Linked DNA regions of Ovis aries. The protein of the gene in region 2 interacts with the protein of the main gene of each other region in a pairwise test. Links are inferred from orthologs where the notes say so. Each region holds a gene or a part of one and is shown on either strand. Other genes may lie near its edges.

Evidence for each region.
Region 1: the proteins of EXOC1 (region 2) and SH3BP5 interact in a two-hybrid assay, tested with the Homo sapiens proteins (2 studies listed by BioGRID and IntAct). The link is inferred for Ovis aries from reciprocal best matches to the Homo sapiens genes EXOC1 and SH3BP5.
Region 3: the proteins of EXOC1 (region 2) and SRGAP2 interact in a two-hybrid assay, tested with the Homo sapiens proteins (2 studies listed by BioGRID and IntAct). The link is inferred for Ovis aries from reciprocal best matches to the Homo sapiens genes EXOC1 and SRGAP2.

Annotation. Positions count from the first base shown.
Region 1 is NC_056054.1:273,378,172-273,381,920, reverse strand, and holds the start of SH3BP5 (SH3 domain-binding protein 5), read left to right. Parts: upstream 1-1,506; 5' UTR 1,507-1,634; coding exon 1,635-1,781; intron 1,782-3,459; coding exon 3,460-3,522; intron 3,523-3,749. UniProt on the Homo sapiens protein: Functions as a guanine nucleotide exchange factor (GEF) with specificity for RAB11A and RAB25. Inhibits the auto- and transphosphorylation activity of BTK. Plays a negative regulatory role in BTK-related cytoplasmic signaling in B-cells.
Region 2 is NC_056059.1:72,041,126-72,044,774, reverse strand, and holds part of EXOC1 (exocyst complex component 1), read right to left. Parts: intron 477-3,649; coding exon 293-476; intron 1-292.
Region 3 is NC_056065.1:4,059,943-4,063,591, forward strand, and holds part of SRGAP2 (SLIT-ROBO Rho GTPase-activating protein 2), read left to right. Parts: intron 1-776; coding exon 777-957; intron 958-1,697; coding exon of another isoform or gene 1,698-1,710; exon of another isoform or gene 1,711-2,414; coding exon 2,415-2,561; exon of another isoform or gene 2,562-2,660; coding exon of another isoform or gene 2,661-2,838; exon of another isoform or gene 2,839-3,649. UniProt on the Homo sapiens protein: Postsynaptic RAC1 GTPase activating protein (GAP) that plays a key role in neuronal morphogenesis and migration mainly during development of the cerebral cortex. Regulates excitatory and inhibitory synapse maturation and density in cortical pyramidal neurons.

The DNA.
Region 1 (3,749 bases), on a different chromosome or scaffold from region 2:
AACTATGTCGTTAGCAAGGAATTTGAGAACATCTCACGAAGAACTGCTGACTCTCTCGATTTAAAGAACAATGAACAGGTATGACCTGTTCAGAAACAAACCCATGACATACACCTGTAGTACCTCCAGGAGACAGTGAGACTCCTTTGATGGGGAGGACCACGGTGCCAGAGTGTGTAGGGCGGAACCTTGCCCAAGGGGTAACCCCCCAACTTGGCTTCTGATAAAACCAACCATAAACAGGTTTCCCAAGGCTGGTTTTAATGACAAGCTCTCAGAAAGAAGCTCCTTTCCCAAGTAAGTCTGCCCTCCAAACTCAACAGAGCCCACAGGCCACAAGCCTTTGCGTAGAAAGAGCGTACACTCTGCGTTTTTGTAGTGAAAGAGATGTTAGCAACGGCCAGTGGCAATGTCCTTGCCTGCTTTGCTAGGGTCATCTGACCTTCTGCTCCCCTGACATCACAGTGGCCCTGACATTTCATAAAAGCGCAGACATGACCTTTATTTGGATTTTTTTGAGTTTGCGGGGCAAGTTCTGGCGCCCCATTCTGTTCAGGGTGGGCAGGAAACCTCCTCAGTCAGTAACCCCTTGGATGGAGTGTGTCCATTTACAGAGGTTAACACTCACATCTCCTGGAGAAGGCTGCAGGCACACACGCAACCACCCACAACCCTGATCAATGGATTTCCCATGCTTCCCAGCTATTCAGGTAGGGCCATCCCACAACTCTGAAGGCAGAGCTTCTTGGGTGTGGAGCTCTGCTCAGTGGGGACACAGCCTTTGGACAAGGAATCCACCCCTGGAGCTGGAGCCGGCGGCTCCCCTCTGGGTCATTGCGTGTCTGCTATGCGAGCGCGCGTTTCCGTTCCCTTTTCTGGGGATACATTTCTTCAGCTTCACCCAAGGGAACAGAAATGCTTGGAGTGTACACAGGGGTTTGAGTCTTGCAACTGGTCCAAGGTCACGGAGGACAAGCTTCTAAAGGGGACTTCAGATGGTGGAAATACCCCCCGACTTTCCTTCCACGTGCCTCCCTGGTGGCTCAGACCGTAAAGAATCCGCCCGCAAAGCAGGAGACCCGGTTTTCACCACTGGGTCAGGAAGATCCCCTGGAGGAGGGCAAGGCAACACACTCCAGTGTTCTTGCCTGGAGAATCTCCATGGACAGAGGGCCTGGGGGCTAAATCCATGGGGTCGCAAAGAGTCGGACACCACTGAGCGATTAACAATTTCCCTCCACGGAGTCACTTCGCCTTGGCAGAGGCGGGAGGGGGAAGAGCACCCGGACACCCGGCGGCCGACCTTGGGGAGCTGGCGATCTCTTCCGGCGGCTAAGTTAAAACTGGGGTGAGGGCTCCCCCATTTCACCACCTACGGGCTTGCTGGTGGGGAGGTTTTGTGACGGAGCGCGGTTCCCCGGGCGGCCGGGCCGAGCCGGGCGGCGCGGGGCGGGCCGGGGGCGGAGCGGCCGGCGCTGACGGCCGCGGCGGAGAGGGGGCGACCGCGCCCACTTCCTCCGGAGCCCGGGGACCCGCGGCCGCGAGCGGCGCCCAGCTCCCCCGCCCGGCCGTGGCCAGGAGGCTCCGGCGCGACCTGCGGCTGCCAGCCCAGCGCGTCCCTGGCCGCAGCCGGCATGGACGCGGCGCCGAGGCGGAACCGCCCGGAGGGGCCGGCGGAGCGCCCGCCGCCCGCCCGGGACTCGGAGGAGGAGGAGGAGGAGGAGGAAGCCGGGATGGAGCCCGGGCTGGCGGACGAGGAGGAGGTGGACCCCCGGATCCAGGTAGGAGGCGCGGGGGGCGCGCGGGGGCCCTGGCCTCCGCGCTCAGCCCGCCTCGGAGCTCCGGGTGCCTGCGCGCAGGGGAGCGGCCCGGGGAGGCCCGGGGCTGCGGGGGAGAGGCTCCGAGCGCCGAGTTTCGCCCGGTTCCTGGGGAGGCTGCGGTGCCCGCGCGGACGCGGCCCGACTCCATCGCCGGGACTCCCGCTTGGACCCGGGAGATTGCCCGCAGCGTGCCCTGCGCTTGGGGCGGACGTGCAACAAAGAGGAAAGGGGGCGGGGGCGCCTCGCCGGGTTCGGGGGTACCCGATCCGGCTCTGCGCGCCGCGGGCTCTGCGCAACCTCCGGACTCCCGGAGCCCGGCCGGCGGCATAGCGCGCGCCCCCGGGGCGGTGGGCGCCGGCCACCCACCTACAACTGGGGCGGCCGCCCTGCCCGGGGGTCGGAGCCCTCACCTGGCAGAGGGGACCGTCCGGAGCCACCCCCGCCCCCGCGCCGATTCATTGTTAGCAAACCGAAGGGTTTATTGTCACCCCCGGCGCAGCCCTCCGGCTGGCCTCAAACGGTTTAAAACCCAGCTTTTCCTCCTTGTGAGGTCGAGTGTGAACAGAAACCAGGGCCAACTGGTGCGCAAAGCTGACGCGCGAGAAGGCGAGAGGGTTGGCCTGCTTCCTGCGCCTCCATTTCTCCGGGAGATGATTAAAAAGCAATTTCCTAGCCGAGATCTCAAAGTGACAGCTTAACCTCTTCACCCTCTAAGCAAAAGAGCACAGCACACCCCTTTGTAAGACCCATGTTTCCACTCTTCCGTAAGTCACTTGTAACAAACCCTGCTTTTCAGCATGAACTGCGATTTCTGGAGACCTAATTGGTTTTTCAGTGTGCAGATCTATTAAAAAGCTCATTTAACTCAGCTGTTGTGTTTAACTGAATTGTTACGGCAGGTGAGCAAGATAAAAATCAGGGGGAAAAAGCTTCCTATTAGGAATTCTATTAAAATCAGTTTGGGCTACTACATTTTGTTTTCTTGGTAGGGGAATTCTGTTAACAAGATCCTTTGTTTGCAGAGCAAAAAGAGTTAACTTCATGCTGGGCGCTTTTTACAAAATGTTAGCTTGTAAATATTTAAAGGATCAGGATTAAAGCTAGTTTTAGTTGTTTTGTAAACAGCTAGGTAGTTTGAATAATTGGCAGTTGGAAAAGAAAATGCTTTCTACAGAAAAATGCTCAACTTTGGGTGAGTTAATGCCAGAATTCCACCCTTGGTTCGCATGATTTCAATACTTTAGGCTTGGCTTTGTTTTCTTTTATTATCTTTTCTGCAAAATTCCTGCTCTAAAGCAGAAAGCATTATTTTGATTTAGCCTCTAAACCGTTTATAACAGGTGGGTTTACCTGAAGGCACAAACCTGCAATAAATAATTGACCTTCTAAGAAAAGACAAATTCCTGGAACCTTAAGTCATTTTCAAAAAGGCCACTCTCAAGAAAAGGGTTTCAGAAATGCTGACATTCATTTGTTCTTCCAGCCAAGGCACAACTGTTTTCCTTGACAATTAATATGGACTGGTTCCTCTTCCTACAAACTGACCAGAGTAATTTTGCAGATTTTGGGGCTGAGTCACAGTGGAAACCAAAGACAAGCATCCCTGAAGTCTTTTTTTTCTGTCCCTTTTCTTCATCAGGGAGAACTGGAGAAACTCAATCAATCCACGGATGACATCAACAGGCGGGAGACTGAACTTGAGGTACAGAGAGCTGGGTCCTGAAGCGAAGGTGGCTCCTGTCCTGCTGACCCCAGGCTGGTTCATTCTGTTTTAATAGCTGCAGAGTGGTTGCTGGCGTTCCCTCCTTGAAGTTGAGCAATAGCAAGCTGCCCGACAGAATGAATTACACCACTGAGGCCAGCTTGTGGGTGGAACACACGAGGATCCAATTTCACGTGGTTTTTTCATCCTGGAAACTCGGAGGGGCC
Region 2 (3,649 bases):
CATTTTTGTGTTTAAAAAATGAATTTCAATTTTACATAGTGATAGCCCATATGAACCCTAAAACATAAGTAGTTCCTGGTAAATACAAGTGGGTTTTATGTACTGTTTGTTTTTCAAATTTAAGAAATCTTTACTTTCAGAAAACTTAAAAAAGACTATAGACTATGGAAAATAATGAACAGATCTGTACCCCAACTTCTAACTTAATCAGAAATAATGAAAACCGACCAAAAATACCAGAAATAAGGAAAACCACCACCAAAAACTTCTTCATAATGTAACAAAAGCTTACCATTAACAAATACCCCTCTGATAAGTTTAGTATATGCTTTATCTAGATCTCCACGACGCTCGGCATTTTTAAAGATTGATTCTGCGAGTCCAGCAAATTCTTCAAATTCAGCAACAAATGGGAGAATTCCTACTTTACTCTTCTTTGAGATCTTTACTTCTTCCATTTGCCTTATTTGGTTACTCTAAAGTTAGGCAGAAAGCAAGGGAGAAAAATAGCTAAGCAACTTAGAAACAACATACAATTAAAAGCAAATATATATACCACAAAGGCATGATGTAATTTAATACCTAGAACATTTTGGACATTTACTAACCAAAGAGTAATACAATATGGATAACTAAGAAAAACTATTGCTAGAGATTAAAAAGTACATATATAATATTTAAGAAACTAAAATCAAGGAAAAAAATCCAAATTATCCAAAACAAAATGCACTCAAAGCTTGTGAACCTCAGGTCTTTGTTTAAAGTAAAAACAACTAATGAACACTTCTATCATTTATAAAAGGTAAGTATATAGTGATTGCCCATTCTGGGGCAGAGCAGATACCAGAGCACACACAGGATCTCTCACAATTATTTCTGGTTGGTGGCTATATAGTCAAGTTGAGAACCACAACCATTTCCAAATCTCAACAGCCTAAAATTTGTTTGGATAGAGAAGTTCTATATTTTGGGGGTATGAGAACAGAGACGGAGATCAGGTATTTCTACTGTGGATTTGCATATATAGTTTTCCATGTATCTATTAGTTATTTACTCTAAATCTGTATAGTAAAGTACTTGTGTAAGATGGATACAAAGTACAAATAGACATATATACAGAATATAGACACTTTGGTTCAAAATAATCAATTATGATTCTGTGTACTTCCAGGGGATCTAGTTCTATTCCCGGTAAGAAGTACATTGCCAAAGTGTTGAATCATTTTCAACTCCTACCTAAAACGTCATTATGCTGAGATTTTGGGGATATAACCTGAAAACCATACGACATGTAGAGATTAGAAAAGTAATTGTTCTTTTGTTCAATATGGTATTGGAAGTTCTAGACATAGCAATCAGACAGGAAAAATAAATAAAAGCAATCCAAATTGGACAAATAATTCTAAAACCTGTATGGAAACACAAAAGATCATAATAGCCAAAGTAAGCTCAAGAAAGAACAAAATCAGAGGTATTATGCTCCCTGATTTCAAACTATACTACAAAGTTATAGTCATCAAACAATATGGTACTGGTACAAAAACAGACATGTAGATCAATGGAACAGAGTACCCAGAAATAAACCCATCCTTATATGTTTAATTAATCTATGACAGAGAAGGCAAGAATATACAATGAGGAAGAGGCACCCAAATCATATCATTTTCAAAGGTTAAAGAGTACAAAACCACATCACTATAGTGTGGGGAATTCTGAAAAGCAAAGTAAATTCAGGTAAGAAATGTACTGGAGTGCAGTGTCCAGCTTGGTAGTACTTGATATGTTTCTAATTTTATCTCTAGTTCTTGGTAGGCTAATCTTTTTAGCCCTGTTCCTTGAAGAACACTTTGGGCTTGGCCACCAGATGAAAGTACTAAACTCAGATGCTATCTATTTCACTTTCTGCAGTCGTCTGACATTCATTCTTTGGTTCAATACACACAGAACCATTCACTACTTTTTCAAGGTATGCCTTAGGTCCAGATCTTGTCCCAAGTACCAAAACATGTAACACTTAACTGAGCATGCACAACTGACTGGACACTGTGAAAAGACTTGAGTTAAAATAAGAAACATTGATGACAACCAACAGAAGGAACCATCCTTCTCCCTTTAGTGACAAAAGGTAAAGCTTTTAGAAATACATGCAATTTAGGAAAAAACATGACTTTATACCTTTGTCTAGGTAAATTTTACTAAATTTCTTCACTTCCCAGTTTTGAGAGTAACATGAACATTCTTCAGCAAACTATTATTAATTACTACTGTTATTCCCTGGTGACTCAGATGGTAAAGCATCTGCCTACAATGTGGGACACTCGGGTTCGATCCCTAGGTCAGGATGATCCTCTGGAGAAGGAAATGGCAACCCACTCCAGTACTCTTGCCTGGAAAATCCCATGGATGGAGGAGCGTGGTAGGCTACAGCCCATGGGGTTGCAAAGAGTTGGACGTGACTAAGAGACTTCACTTTCACTTTCATTACTGTCATCATCACCATTACAAGTGATTCTGTACCAGGCAATGTGCTAAGCACTTCATTTGAACCCATGCCTACATCTACCTGATACTATTACATCTTACACTTTTAATAATTACATTCAACTGGATTGAGAGGTATTATATTAAAGTTTTATATAATAGTTTTATTTTACTGATAAGAGCAACAAAATCTTCATATTCTAAAAATGTATAGTGTTCTCATGATTAGTGTTCTAGCTATTCTTATTCTATGTCACATGGGACTCATTATCTCAGACTTCAGTAATTCTTTATTTTCCTTTTGGCTATCAGCTTACAATCAGACCTTACAGGTTTATCATCACTTATGAAGAAAGCTGGGCAGGGAAGAGGATAAGTGGCCAAATTTCATAATATTTCAAATGCCAGTGCAGTCATTTGGTGGGGAAGGAGGGTTAACAAGTCTGTTGAGGTGACATTTAAGTTTCTACGGATGGCTTTTAAACTTTCAGAAATCAGTAAATATTATTTTTAAAAAGTATAAAGATGATGTGGATTTTAATTACCCTTAATATTTTTATTATTCTCTCATTATTCTATGGGCTTCCCTGGTGGCTCAGCCGGTAAAGAATCTGCTTGCAAAGCGAGAGACCTGGGTTCGATCCCTGGGTTGGGAAGATTCCCCTGGAGGAAATGGCTACCCACTCCAGTATTCTTACCTGGATAATTCCATGGACAGAGGAGTCTGGCAAGCTACTGACCATGGGGTCACAAAGACTCAAACATGACTGAGTGACTTTCACTCACTCATTATTCTATGGCTATTCAAGCACTGGATTTAACTTAGAGGTTACACAGTAGAATAATTCAGATGATAAATATCTACTTTTACATATTAATACTAAATACATTAATAAAATGAAACTCTTTTTAGAACCTGGTCCAATCCTGTTCATATCTATGAGCTTTCCAAAACCTAACAGAAAAAATAAAGTTAATGATTTTTTTCCTATTAGAAGGAGAAAAATGATAACTGCCAAAAGTTCTCATAAGAACAACTTATTCTTAAGGTAATATGATTAAAGCTATTAAACTAAAAAAATACTTTAATCAATTAAAATAATCCAAATAGTAATTATCCTATTGTAATATGTTAAAAGAAGAGAAACAATAAATTCAAGTTTCAGTT
Region 3 (3,649 bases), on a different chromosome or scaffold from region 2:
GACTGATACAGGCAGCACTTTACTCTGGGTCCTCACTGTTCTGAGCACTTTTACAAATGGTTATTTATTGACTCTTACTGCCGACTTCATGAAAAAGGCACTATTCTTTTCCTCGTTTTATAGACGAGGAAGCTGAAGCTTATACAAAAGTAGAAGTACATTGCCTTTGTAAACCTCTGTTAAGTCTTCAAATCACTTCCATGTGCATTTTTCCATGTATTGGTCACAAAATATATTTCCACATTTTGCTCTTTGGAAAGCTGATTGGGTAAGTTATTTTCTCTTTATAGAGACTAAAAGTTCATGTTCTAGTAGGGGGAATGGATAACCTAAACAGATTATTTAAAATGCAATAATAAGTGTTCTAAATTAATGGAGTTATTGTACAGCCGAAAAGGAAATAATGCTTACAACTACAATATGGCAGGTTCGATGATAGGGGTTGGCATAAAGCACTATGGAAACACAAAGGAAGTTACTCGAGGAAGCAAGTGATGTTTGAGTTGTGATTCAGTGTGTTTCATCAGGCAGGTGAGAGAGAAAGAGGGATTCCAGGTGGAGCGAACAGCAGGAGCAAGGGCAGGGAAGGGCATGTGAGTGCTTTCAGGGGTTTGCACCATCTGCTCAGGAATTGCTGGCTATTGTATATCATCCGTGACTTATTCTCACACCAGCTTATCTTCCCACCACTGTGAGTTCAGCTAACTGGGCTCTTCCACCCAGTTGCCAAGTGTGAGTCCCAGCAGCCTGTGTTTCCTTCTCTCCACCCCTCTCAGAGTGTGAGCCCATCGAGGCCATTGCCAAGTTTGACTACGTGGGCCGCACGGCCCGAGAGCTGTCCTTCAAGAAGGGGGCATCTTTGCTGCTTTACCAGCGGGCTTCTGACGACTGGTGGGAAGGCCGGCACAACGGCATCGACGGTCTCATCCCCCATCAGTACATCGTGGTCCAAGACACGTACGTAGGGTGCCCTGCACCCTTAGGGGCCCCTGGCCGCCCTGTGGGAGTGAGTCCTTACTTCTGAAGCCCAGGAGGATGAGGGAGGCCAGCCCCTATGGGCCCCAGCACAGTCTGCAAGTGCTGCTCTTCCTTGGGAAGGTGCCCAGAGTCAGAGAGGTGGAGAATTGTTTTCAGTCTCTCCACTCCACTCCTCCGCCAGCCACACCTCCACCTCCCCCAGCCCACGCTCATCCACATTTATACCTGATGAGTGATAATTAGGGCTAATTATCTGACCACTTACAGTTCCTTTCTGGAACGATCAGGTTGGGAAAACGTTTTGATTTATCTTTCCTATTTTAAAAACAATCGTGTTCACCCCAACCTGTTGGGTCACTGATGGCACTTGTCCACTTGTAAATGAAAATGTTGAGCCTATTTTCTAGTAGAAATGTAGCCTAAGCAGCTTTGTAGAAATAACCCAGTTCATTTAATGAGGTTGACGTGGGGAAAGACGGGGGAGAGGACGGGGAGGAACGCCGGGGAGCCGAGGGCCGTGGGCCGATCGCAGACAGACTTCCTTGCGTGGGCTGTCTGTGGAGTCCCGCTCTCTGAAGCCGTGTCTCCCCATCAGGAAGGCTTTTCCCCGTGGCCCCCCAGACCTGCCCCCTGCCCAGCGCCCCGCCTCTGCCCCCAACTCCCCTTGGCTGCGATGCTGTCAGTGTTTTTAGTCCTCCCCTTAATATTATTTTTTAAAGGTTGATATCCTGAATGAGTCTGCGCCCTCCCAAGCCTCTCCCCGGCTCGCTCTGCGGGGAAGTCCTCTCCCTGTTGATAACATCGCACACCTGGTGGCCATCTGTGCGCGGACAGGACCCTCCCAAATTTAGCATTATGACTTCACCGCAGGACCGAGAGAAGATGAATTGTGGGGGAGAAGGGGCTTTCTTTGTCATCAGTAGCCAGAGGGGCCGGGAGAGCAGTGGCGAGAAGTGGGACCGGCTTGGACGCTCTAAGCGGGGCTGGACGCGCTACGACAGAGTGTGGCGGGGTCCTGCCTCAACGCCGGCACCTCCAGAGCCGCGGCAGAGCTGACTGTCCCTCCCCAGCGCTGCTCGGGACCTGAGCACACAAACCGCAACCTGCAGGAGGTGGCCCCAGCACCGCGGCCCCAGGAGAGCAGCGAGGGGTAGAAGGCAGATGCCGCGAATCCAGGTGTCCCCTAGCCAAGCTTTCCGGAGGAGCTGAGGACCCCACAGGACTCGGCAGGATTATTTATTTGTATTTAAGCGACCCTCCAGAGGCCCGTAGCTCCCCTTGCCTCCGCTCCCCGAGCCCAGCCAGGCGTCGCTGCTGCCTCAGAGCCATTGCGGGGTCGCGTGTGTGTTGGGGGGGCCATCTTGCCGATTTAACACTGCTTTTTGTGTTGTTGTTGTTTTCCCCTCCTCCCTGCCTGCCTGCCCCTCCTGCCCCAGCGAGGACGGTGTCGTGGAGAGGTCCAGCCCCAAGTCTGAGATTGAGGTCATTTCTGAGCCACCTGAAGAAAAGGTGACGGCCAGAGCGGGGGCCAGCTGTCCCAGTGGGGGTCATGTAGCCGATATTTATCTTGCAAACATCAACAAGTAAGCTCTGCTTTTCATCTTCTGCTCCCCTGAATGACTTGCGACACCCAGCCTCACCCTCTGGCCTAACCGCCCCCTCCATGCCTGTGCTGTGCGTAGGGCCCCCGCTGCCCACCTGACCGCTTGCATGTGCCCGCGGCTGCTGCAGGGCAGACAGGGCCGAGGAGACGTCCGCAGACCCCGTCCGCAGGCCCAGCGTGCGGCCGTCACCCTGAGGACCGGGTGCACCCTACTGTCCCCGAAGCGGCTCAGACCTTCCTGGCCGTCTGACTGCTAAAACTCTGGCCAAAGCTGCAGTCACTTCACGCAGCTTAGTTTTGTGCCGTTTCTCAGAGGTGCCTTCTCGTTTTCAGTTTTGACTCAAATAATAGTCTGACGTCTTCCTTGGCCCTGTCTGTTCAAAAATCCAAAGTCTCATGTGTCTTCAGCCAGGTTCACGTTACCCCCCAGTGGTTTATTTTACCGTGTGCCTGTTTCTCCCTCATCCTGCGTTCACTCCCCTGGAGGAAAGGAGACCACTCCCCACCGCCCACGGAAAGCTCCGTCCTGGGATCTTCATTCACTGTCTAAGCCCAGCTCCCTTTCCTCATGCCCTTTCACACCAGAAGAAACAATTTGCCGTTTTCCCCTACCGCTTTAGCCAGTGTACGATCCTGCCCTCCTAGCCTTGTGCAGATGCCCACTTCCGTCCAGCAGGCTCGTAACTCTGGCCCCCGGCTTTCACTGTGGCTGTTAGCAACATCCTGGGGTTTTCACTCCACTCACGCCCGATCTGGCCATCTAGAGGGATTCCACGCCCGTGTGCTGCTGCCTCCCCTAGAGACATTCAGGTTATTGGAGAACTAATCTCATCTCAAGGGGCCAGACACCAAGTCCCAAAGCCTACAGACCTCTTTCCGCCAGACCCTGAAACCTGGCCCAGTGCCAGCAGGATGACAAGCCCCAGGGCGCTCCCGATGAATATGGATTGGAGATGATGTACAGCTTTTATTCCCCTCTGGCTTTGGAGGAATGAAATGATTTGCACATTGAAAACCTGTTAACCATAGCCTCTGGATACTGAAACTGGAAGGAGAATAAAAGATGCT